Linked DNA regions of Caenorhabditis elegans. The protein of the gene in region 1 interacts with the protein of each later gene in a pairwise test. Each region holds a gene or a part of one and is shown on either strand. Other genes may lie near its edges. The genes, in order: K02C4.5 and sma-1.

Region 1 (3,932 bases):
CCTGAAGACGAATTTTTCAAAACTTTCTATTTGTGTGCTGAGGAACAACGATTTTTCAGCAAATCTGAGCAGATGTATGCTTGTATTTGTAAGTTTTTGTTTTATCAATTTGAAGTCACTGTAAGTTGAGGTGTTCAAATATAGGCTAAACTTTTAATGTACTCTGTTTTAAATTAAAATAATTAAAACATACCGCATGTCACTTTGGAGAACTGCCGTCTACCGCTATTCTTCAAATCAAATTTGAATAAACACAGTCTTCCCTACCTAGATTTTATATTCAAATGTTTTGATATCTTTTTTTTATATAATTTTTTATAATTATCAATTTTCAGCACATCTATTCGTGTCAAGTGAAACAGAAGAACCAATCCGAGCGAGAGCTTCATAACATTACCCCTATGACGAATGTAAATACTTAATTTATTGTTGTTTAGATAGATTTATTTTAGATTCACTTAACGATCTTTGTTTAAAAGAAAAATAAAACTGTCATAATATTATAATTCCATGATATTCTCTTTGACACCTGGGAAATAGGTTATGGGGGTTCAGTCTGTCCGTAAGAACCAAAAAAAACGTCGAGACTGTGCATGAAGCATTATATCGGGTTAGGCCATCTGCCACAGGCGTCCCTCTTCCGTGTACTATTTTCCCATTCCGTTCCTCTTTTTTCCCATTGAAAAGGTCATTCGGAATTGAGAAATGGAGATTCTGGCGACTCTATTTGACTATGCTTTACTCAATTTTATTTTAATTTGCACTTTCAGTTTCCCGCTATTTTGTTCGAGAGCCGCAGCGCGTTGAGCTCATTTTGAGATTTCCAGAAATAAGCAATTATTTTCATATAAGAAGCATGATAATTGTTAAATCCATTTCGATGACTAAACTCGATGACATACATATGTGTTTTGGATATACTATTCTTGATTTAGAATGCATTGAAACGAGCGCCAAAAAAATTTTCTATAAAACTTTTGAGGCATTTTTTCGAATTGCTGTTTTATGAATTATTGGTTGATATTATGAACTTCCAGTAAGATCAATCAATTGAATTAACAATTTTTATTATGTTGGCTTTCACACATTTGCCACTGTTTTAAAGTCTTTTTCCTTAATTACTTAACTTGTGAACTTATTAAAAATCACTGGAAATTTCAGAAAAAAATCACTTCTAAGGAATCGGGAAAAGTAAAAACTACTTGAATCACCTTATCAATAATCACTGATCTTTCACATTCTTGGTACATCATCATTTTTACTTATTCTCTTTTCTCAATTTTTTGACATTAAAAAACATATTTGCTCTAATAGTAAGAGCGCCAAAAGTTCAGAAAATTGTAAACTTTATTTTCAAGACATTCAAAACTTTATAACAGATGTTATGAATATGTAATTCTTCTCTGAAAATTAAAAAAAAGTAAATGTTCATCTGTATACTTGATAAATTTAGTAGAGTTTATTGCCGTCTAAACTATAAAATTGAGAGATTTTTTTCAATTTATACATGAACATTTATGCCCAGTGTTTTTGAAATAAAAACTGCACCGTTTGTTACAACCTCCAATTTCCAAAATTTTGAAAAACATTTCTTTGATCAAAAGAAAAGGATTGACTACCTTCACCTACCTAGACGACCTTCACCAAAGTTGCAATACGGGAATTTACTGGCCGGATGAAAACTTATCACTATCCATTTAATTCCATGTGCCCTCGTTTTTTCCTTAACTTCATTTATCTCTTGTATCCAACATAAAGTTTGTCCCCCCAAATCGCCTAGATTTTTTGACGATCACTCATCGATCATTTTCTCCTTTTTCGTTGTTCCCTCTCTTTGAATCCTTTTTCTCTCATCTTCTTCTACAATGAATTGAGGCCGTGTGATATGATAAGCAATCGATTTATACTTTTCCTCTCTTTAAGAGGAATGCTTTTTCTCTTGCTTCACCCTTTCCTCTTAAAATGATTATCATTCATTTTTTGAGAGTTTGAGCGAGCGTCACATTTTGTTATCACAAGAGAATTGACATTTCAGCCGTGTCACTCACTATCCGTCATCGATATTTTCAATATTTCAAACTTAATTTCAAAAATATTCCATTTATTTCAGTAATCAACCGGAACAAATGACAACTCGCTACGACTATGCATTGCTTGAATTTACAGCCAATTTGTAAGTTTAAGGATTTTGAAACATTTTTCGCATTGATGAAATGGGGGCTTTAGAATTAAAATTTCAATATTTTAATGCGCATTTTCATTTTCAAAACATTTCCCATGATATCGAGATTAAAAAATTGCCACGTCAGATATTCCTGATTCCTGAATTCCTGAAAAATGTTTCTATTGAATGAATGATCGAATGATTTCTGAAAAAAAAGGAAAATTTTTTTCTGGTTCTAAAAAATGTCTTTATACCCTTCAGTACTACGCACTCATATGAAAATCACAATGAGAACAACACAATTTTCGTATTTTCTCTAATAGTGAGGCACCCCATTTCTCAACATTGGCTGCTCGTATTTTGGTTGGTTTTAGTTTTGAAAAAATTGCCAACTAAACCCAGTTTGAGTTTTCTCACTGCTTAAATAGGATCTACAACTAAATCCAGCTTACAATCGTCTAGAACTGCAATCAATTACAGGGCTGAAGCAGAAGCCAACTATGGTCAAAAGCTGCAATCAATCATTGACACATTCTCACAATCGAGGTGAGAAGAACGGTTGTCTGATATCTCTTCAAATAATAAAATAAACCAGTTTTTAGACTAGACCTCCCACTAAAAAGATTATCAGAAATCGCAAAAGTGCACAGTCGAACGGCGAATAACTTGAAAAAATATATGGATCCAAAGAAGAATGAACATTTGAACTTATGGAAAATGTGTAATGTCTATTCATGTGGGGCTGTAGATTTGGATAAAGCAATGAGAGAGACAAGATCATCATTGAGAACAAAAATGGCTGTAGATGGAACTGTAATTGAGAAACCAAAACGACGACATTTTTTCAATTCAATTCATTCGCATCTGAACTCAACAAAACATTCAGAAACAGAAAACAGCGGGAGAAGATGGTTTCCAAAACTTCCTGAAAGAAAATCAGAATTGAGATCAAGTCGAAAAAATACAAGTTCTTCTCTTGAATGTATTGAGAAGGATGAACGAGTTCTAGCTGGATCTAAGTCAACTCCACCGACACCACCTGCTATTAGATCTCATGCACAATTACAAGTTAGTTGAATTTTATTTATTTTTAAATTATTGATTGAAACAATGAAACAAAAAATAAGGAGGCTTTCTAAAAGTTTTATAAGTTTGAAAAATTTTAAATTATTAAAACTACCCAAATTTAACACTTTTTATTGAAGGCATGAAGAGAATTTTCAGAAAAGTATGCTTCCATGTTTTAATTTATCTCATTCCAATGAATTTCAATTTTTGAAAAGGTGCAAAAAAGCATGGATTCATTAGGATGGGTCTCGCATCGAAAAGTAAAACCGATGAAAACGAGGAATTTTGTTCACAAATTCTAGATAAAAAGCTACCATAAAAATTATCGTGGTGAGACTGATCCGAATGAATGTGTGCGCCTTAAAGTACGCGATTCTGGAGACTGTGAATATCCGATAATAGTTTTCAATTCCAGGCAAGTCCATCAGTTGCACCGGATACTCAGTTAAAACCACCTCGACCACCGATTCGTTCAGCGGTTCCTGATCCTCCATCAACAATTCCACCACCAGTACCAATTTCCTCTCCACCTCAAATCTACGCAACACCGATCTATGAAGATCTACAAAAAGCATCGAATCCTTATGTTAACAGTAAAAATAATAGAATTGGAATTGTTGAAGAGCACTCACTACGTCATATAGATTCACCCAAAAATACATCAGTTATTAGAATTCGAACAGATGTTGATGTTTCACAA
Region 2 (3,932 bases), on another chromosome or scaffold:
GTGTTCGGCACAAGGTTATGCGCACTTCGCCTCTTTCTCCTATTCGCTAATACTAAACGAAACTTATCGCATTTACATTCTCACACTTCCACTTTTCAAAAAAGTAAAGAATACTACTTGTAAGGTGGTAGTGGACGACTGTCGGTGTCGGTTTTGTCGAGATTTCGTCTTTCATTCGACTGATCGGACAACTAGATACACTGAATTAGGTGGTGAAAGAAACTTTTCTTTTGAAAAAGGAGAGACCTACGTTTTTCTTGTCCGTTTCATTTCACTGCCTTCTGCCAAAATATGTGTGTTTTCTCACTGTTTTATCATCCTTTCAAAGTCTTGATTTTTTGGCTCGCAGTTTTTATGGTTGTCGTGGAATTGTTTGGTTCTCTGTTCCTCTTTGCCACAAAAAGTTTGTTGACTGTAGGTTAAAATTCAGTACTCTTTTAAAGATTTTTTTTACTGTAAACTACACGATTGTGAAAGAAACTTAGTCGTATTTTGTCAGCTTCAGATTTCGGCAAATGTTTGAGTCGGGAGTACAGCTCTGTTTATCTACATTTCCATTCTCTTTTCAAAAGTTGTTTCCCAAAACACCTGTCGACCTGTTACCCGTCCATAAATCATGCCAATATCATTGTCAATATGACGGCGTTTATGGTCAAGTATACCTCAACGAAATGCGTCAACTCTGACGCATCCGTGTTGACAGACGAACTCAACTCATCATAAGTACACAAATGGAAACGTATACACGCGTTGAATGAATAGATTGAATTCCTAGAAATGGGTGTGTTTTTTCCTTGAAGAATTGATCCATATGCGTTGTCGAAAAGTTGTTCTAAAATAATTTTCTGAATAACTAGAAGTTTTACAGTAATTAAAGTTTTTCGTTTGTTCAGAGATACTTAGTATTCTTAAGTTGCCTGTGCATATTCCTGTCATGCCTGTTTAAAGTAACTCCAGTGGGATTAACTATCAGAAACTCTCCCTAAAATAATATACGAATATCATAATAAGACTTTTATTTGAAAAAGTTTTTTGTAGGCAAACACCAAAATAACTAAATGTCCTCCACTCATAATTTTTGAAGTAGTCCGAAACATTTTAATATTCTCATATTTGGATTATGTTTTAAGCATTTTATAGGTCCAAAAATGAGGCATTGTTTTAAACATTTCCAAAAACCGACATTTTCGAAAATTGGCAATTTGCCAAAACTTTGAACAAGAACATGTATGATGTCTTTTTCTAGAAGTCAACAAATATTGTCAACAATAAACAAGAAATCATAAAAAACTATAATAATAAGTGGGCTGCTCATGGATAAGAACAAAAAGCGGTGTTCTTCCTGGCTCTTGAAACAGACATGTTTGAACTCAAGTGCCCCACTGTGGCGGTCAGCTATTTTTGTGTTTGTCAATTTCCGCCACCGGAATCCTCGATTTCTCGCCCATTTCGGCCACCACTCAATTGTTGCCGCCGCTGAACATTCCTTCCGTTCTTTTCCCGTCAGGCGAATACACATATTCGATACTTTTTATCCATCGCGCCGATCGATGGATGTCTTCTAATCGTCTCCGACACTTTCTCCGTTACTTCTTTCTCTCTCTCATCATATTCGGATAGTATTGTATAGAGAGACTCGGCAAAGGATAAACGAACGCCGGACGTCGTTGCAATTGAACACAGAAGAGATAAAGATTATATAAGAAGTTACCTTCTGAAGACTGAGGAGGAACCACCACGGCTACTGTCCGAGTGTCGCCGTGTTTCCTTGACCCTTTTTCTCCATATCTGACAAGAATCGAACACGGATTGTCAAGACTGTTCATAACGGAGGAAATACTACCACTTACTATTTTTCGACTTTGCTATATACATAATATATTCTTGCTAATATTGTGAAGCTTTATCATGTCGTATGTGTCGTTCGCGGCAAGCTACTCGCCTGGAGAAGGCAAAACAGTTCGAAATCTCAATGGTATGTGCTCTTTCATTTTAAATTCTTTGTAATAAGTTTTTCAAAAAAATTCTGAAATTATTAATTTGATTTTGGGCACATCAAAGTAGGTGCAAATTAGTTTCTGCAAACAAATTTTCTAAATTTTTATATTTGTGTTAAGTAGTCTTCTAAATTTTGGCGCTTGAATATATAATAGATCGAAGTAAAAAATTGTATGAATATTGCTAATTTTGGTGTTGTTGTGTTATATGCATTCTTGCACATTCTCACAGTCTGCTGCATTCCTTTCTCTCTTTATTTCTTCGTTCTCTCTATATGGAAGTGGCGAGAGGGTAAATATGCAACACTGCATACCATCAGTAGAGCGTCCATAGAGCCGTGAAGGAAAAGGGCACAGTGATAGGTGGTAGTGTTGAAGTGTCAATACAATTTAGTACTTTTTCTCTTTCCACATATTTTTGTCGCTATTCTAAAGTGAATCATTGTCCTCTGTGTCATTTCGATTTGCAATTTACCAAGTATGAGATATTTATGTATCTGTCTTATTGGGATCTCTATGCTGTGACAGATTGCTTCACTAAAATAAACAAAGTTCCAATAGCATTCCCTCCGTTGTCTAATCCATTTTCTGTTCTCACTTTTTGCCCCCTGGGTTCGTCTTTACTAATGAGTTCAGCAACCATCCCGCGGAGCACATTTCAGTGACTCATTCTTCTTTTTCGCAGTGATAAGACGCTGTTATCAGATGTAATAAACACGGGGAACGCCCCCACCTCCACAATATACCTTACTTTTAAAATTTTGAAAATTTTCGTGACGTTTCGAACTTTCTCTGCTTTTTTACTTGAAATTTAATCTGTCAATGTTTTTTGCTGGACATTTATAGCGATTGCTAAACACGTCTCTTTTTTGTTTAATTGCAGAATAGTTCCAACATTTTCTCAGAAAAAATTTCATTCGAAAAGCTTTCCAATTATTCCATTTTCTTTTTTGTAAGCCTTTTCTGATTCCAGTTAAATATTACTAACTTTGTTTGTGTCGCGTCGTCGTACGACATCCGACGTACAAATTCTTAATAAGTCATATTTCACGTGAACATTATTACGTGAACTTTGCCCACACACACAGAAAATAGTCGCACACATAGGAATGCCACGTGTACCACGTGTGCCACTCTTTCACTGTTTATGTTCGGCGAAACATTTCTTTATTTCAAAAATCTTTCACTTTTCTTGAAAGTATTTTGTTGCTGGATACAATTTCCCGTTTTAATTGTAAGTTAGGTTCAAACTTTTTCTCTGAAAAACGATGTGATTCCAAATATTAATAATCTTTGTCTTTTTTGTGCCACGTGGGCGTCTCTGTTGCATATCATTTTGATCATTATTCTCTTCAGAAATGTATATATAACTTGTCTTTCTTTTTTCTCTATCTATTAGTCACTTAACTACTCAAGAAACTTTCAAATTTATCAACTAAAATGTATATTTTTCAGACAAGGTAGAAGGGTATCGCAAGGAGATTGCCCCAAGTCGCGAAAACGTTGACTTCGATCACTTGCGAAGAACACCTAGAGATCCTTTACCGGAGAACGACTATCAGGCGACGAGCAGTACTGGATTATCGAGTGGGGAAGTAAAACCCTACCAGTACCGCGACTATCACCAACATCAGAAGCACGAGTATTACGGCGAAGGAGTGAACGACGGTGTATCTGAAGACAACGTTGAAGACAAAATGAGAAAATACGAAATGCAGGCAAGTTTATATTTATGAACTAGACAGGCTTTTTAAAGTAGCATCAACCTGTAGATCGAAAATGAATGTTTAAACCTATTATGATTGGATTTTAAGATAATCCGATTACGCGTTTGAAACATAAATCCCAATTTTGCCAATAGTCAAGCCAACACATCTAATATTTTTGTCAGATTGTAGTAGTTGTTTATATTTGCTCTAAAAGTCATGCCGAAAA

Evidence for each region.
Region 2: the proteins of K02C4.5 (region 1) and sma-1 interact in a two-hybrid assay, tested with the Caenorhabditis elegans proteins (one large-scale study listed by BioGRID).

The regions. Positions count from the first base shown.
Region 1 is NC_003280.10:8,076,331-8,080,262, forward strand, and holds the start of K02C4.5 (FCH domain-containing protein), read left to right. Parts: upstream 1-2,104; 5' UTR 2,105-2,126; coding exon 2,127-2,173; intron 2,174-2,644; coding exon 2,645-2,710; intron 2,711-2,766; coding exon 2,767-3,232; intron 3,233-3,647; coding exon 3,648-3,932. Other genes in the region: K02C4.2 (DUF19 domain-containing protein), read left to right, coding at 1-88, 336-391.
Region 2 is NC_003283.11:11,897,656-11,901,587, forward strand, and holds the start of sma-1 (Spectrin beta chain), read left to right. Parts: upstream 1-1,793; 5' UTR 1,794-1,908; coding exon 1,909-1,975; intron 1,976-2,252; exon of another isoform or gene 2,253-2,424; intron 2,425-3,452; coding exon 3,453-3,715; intron 3,716-3,932.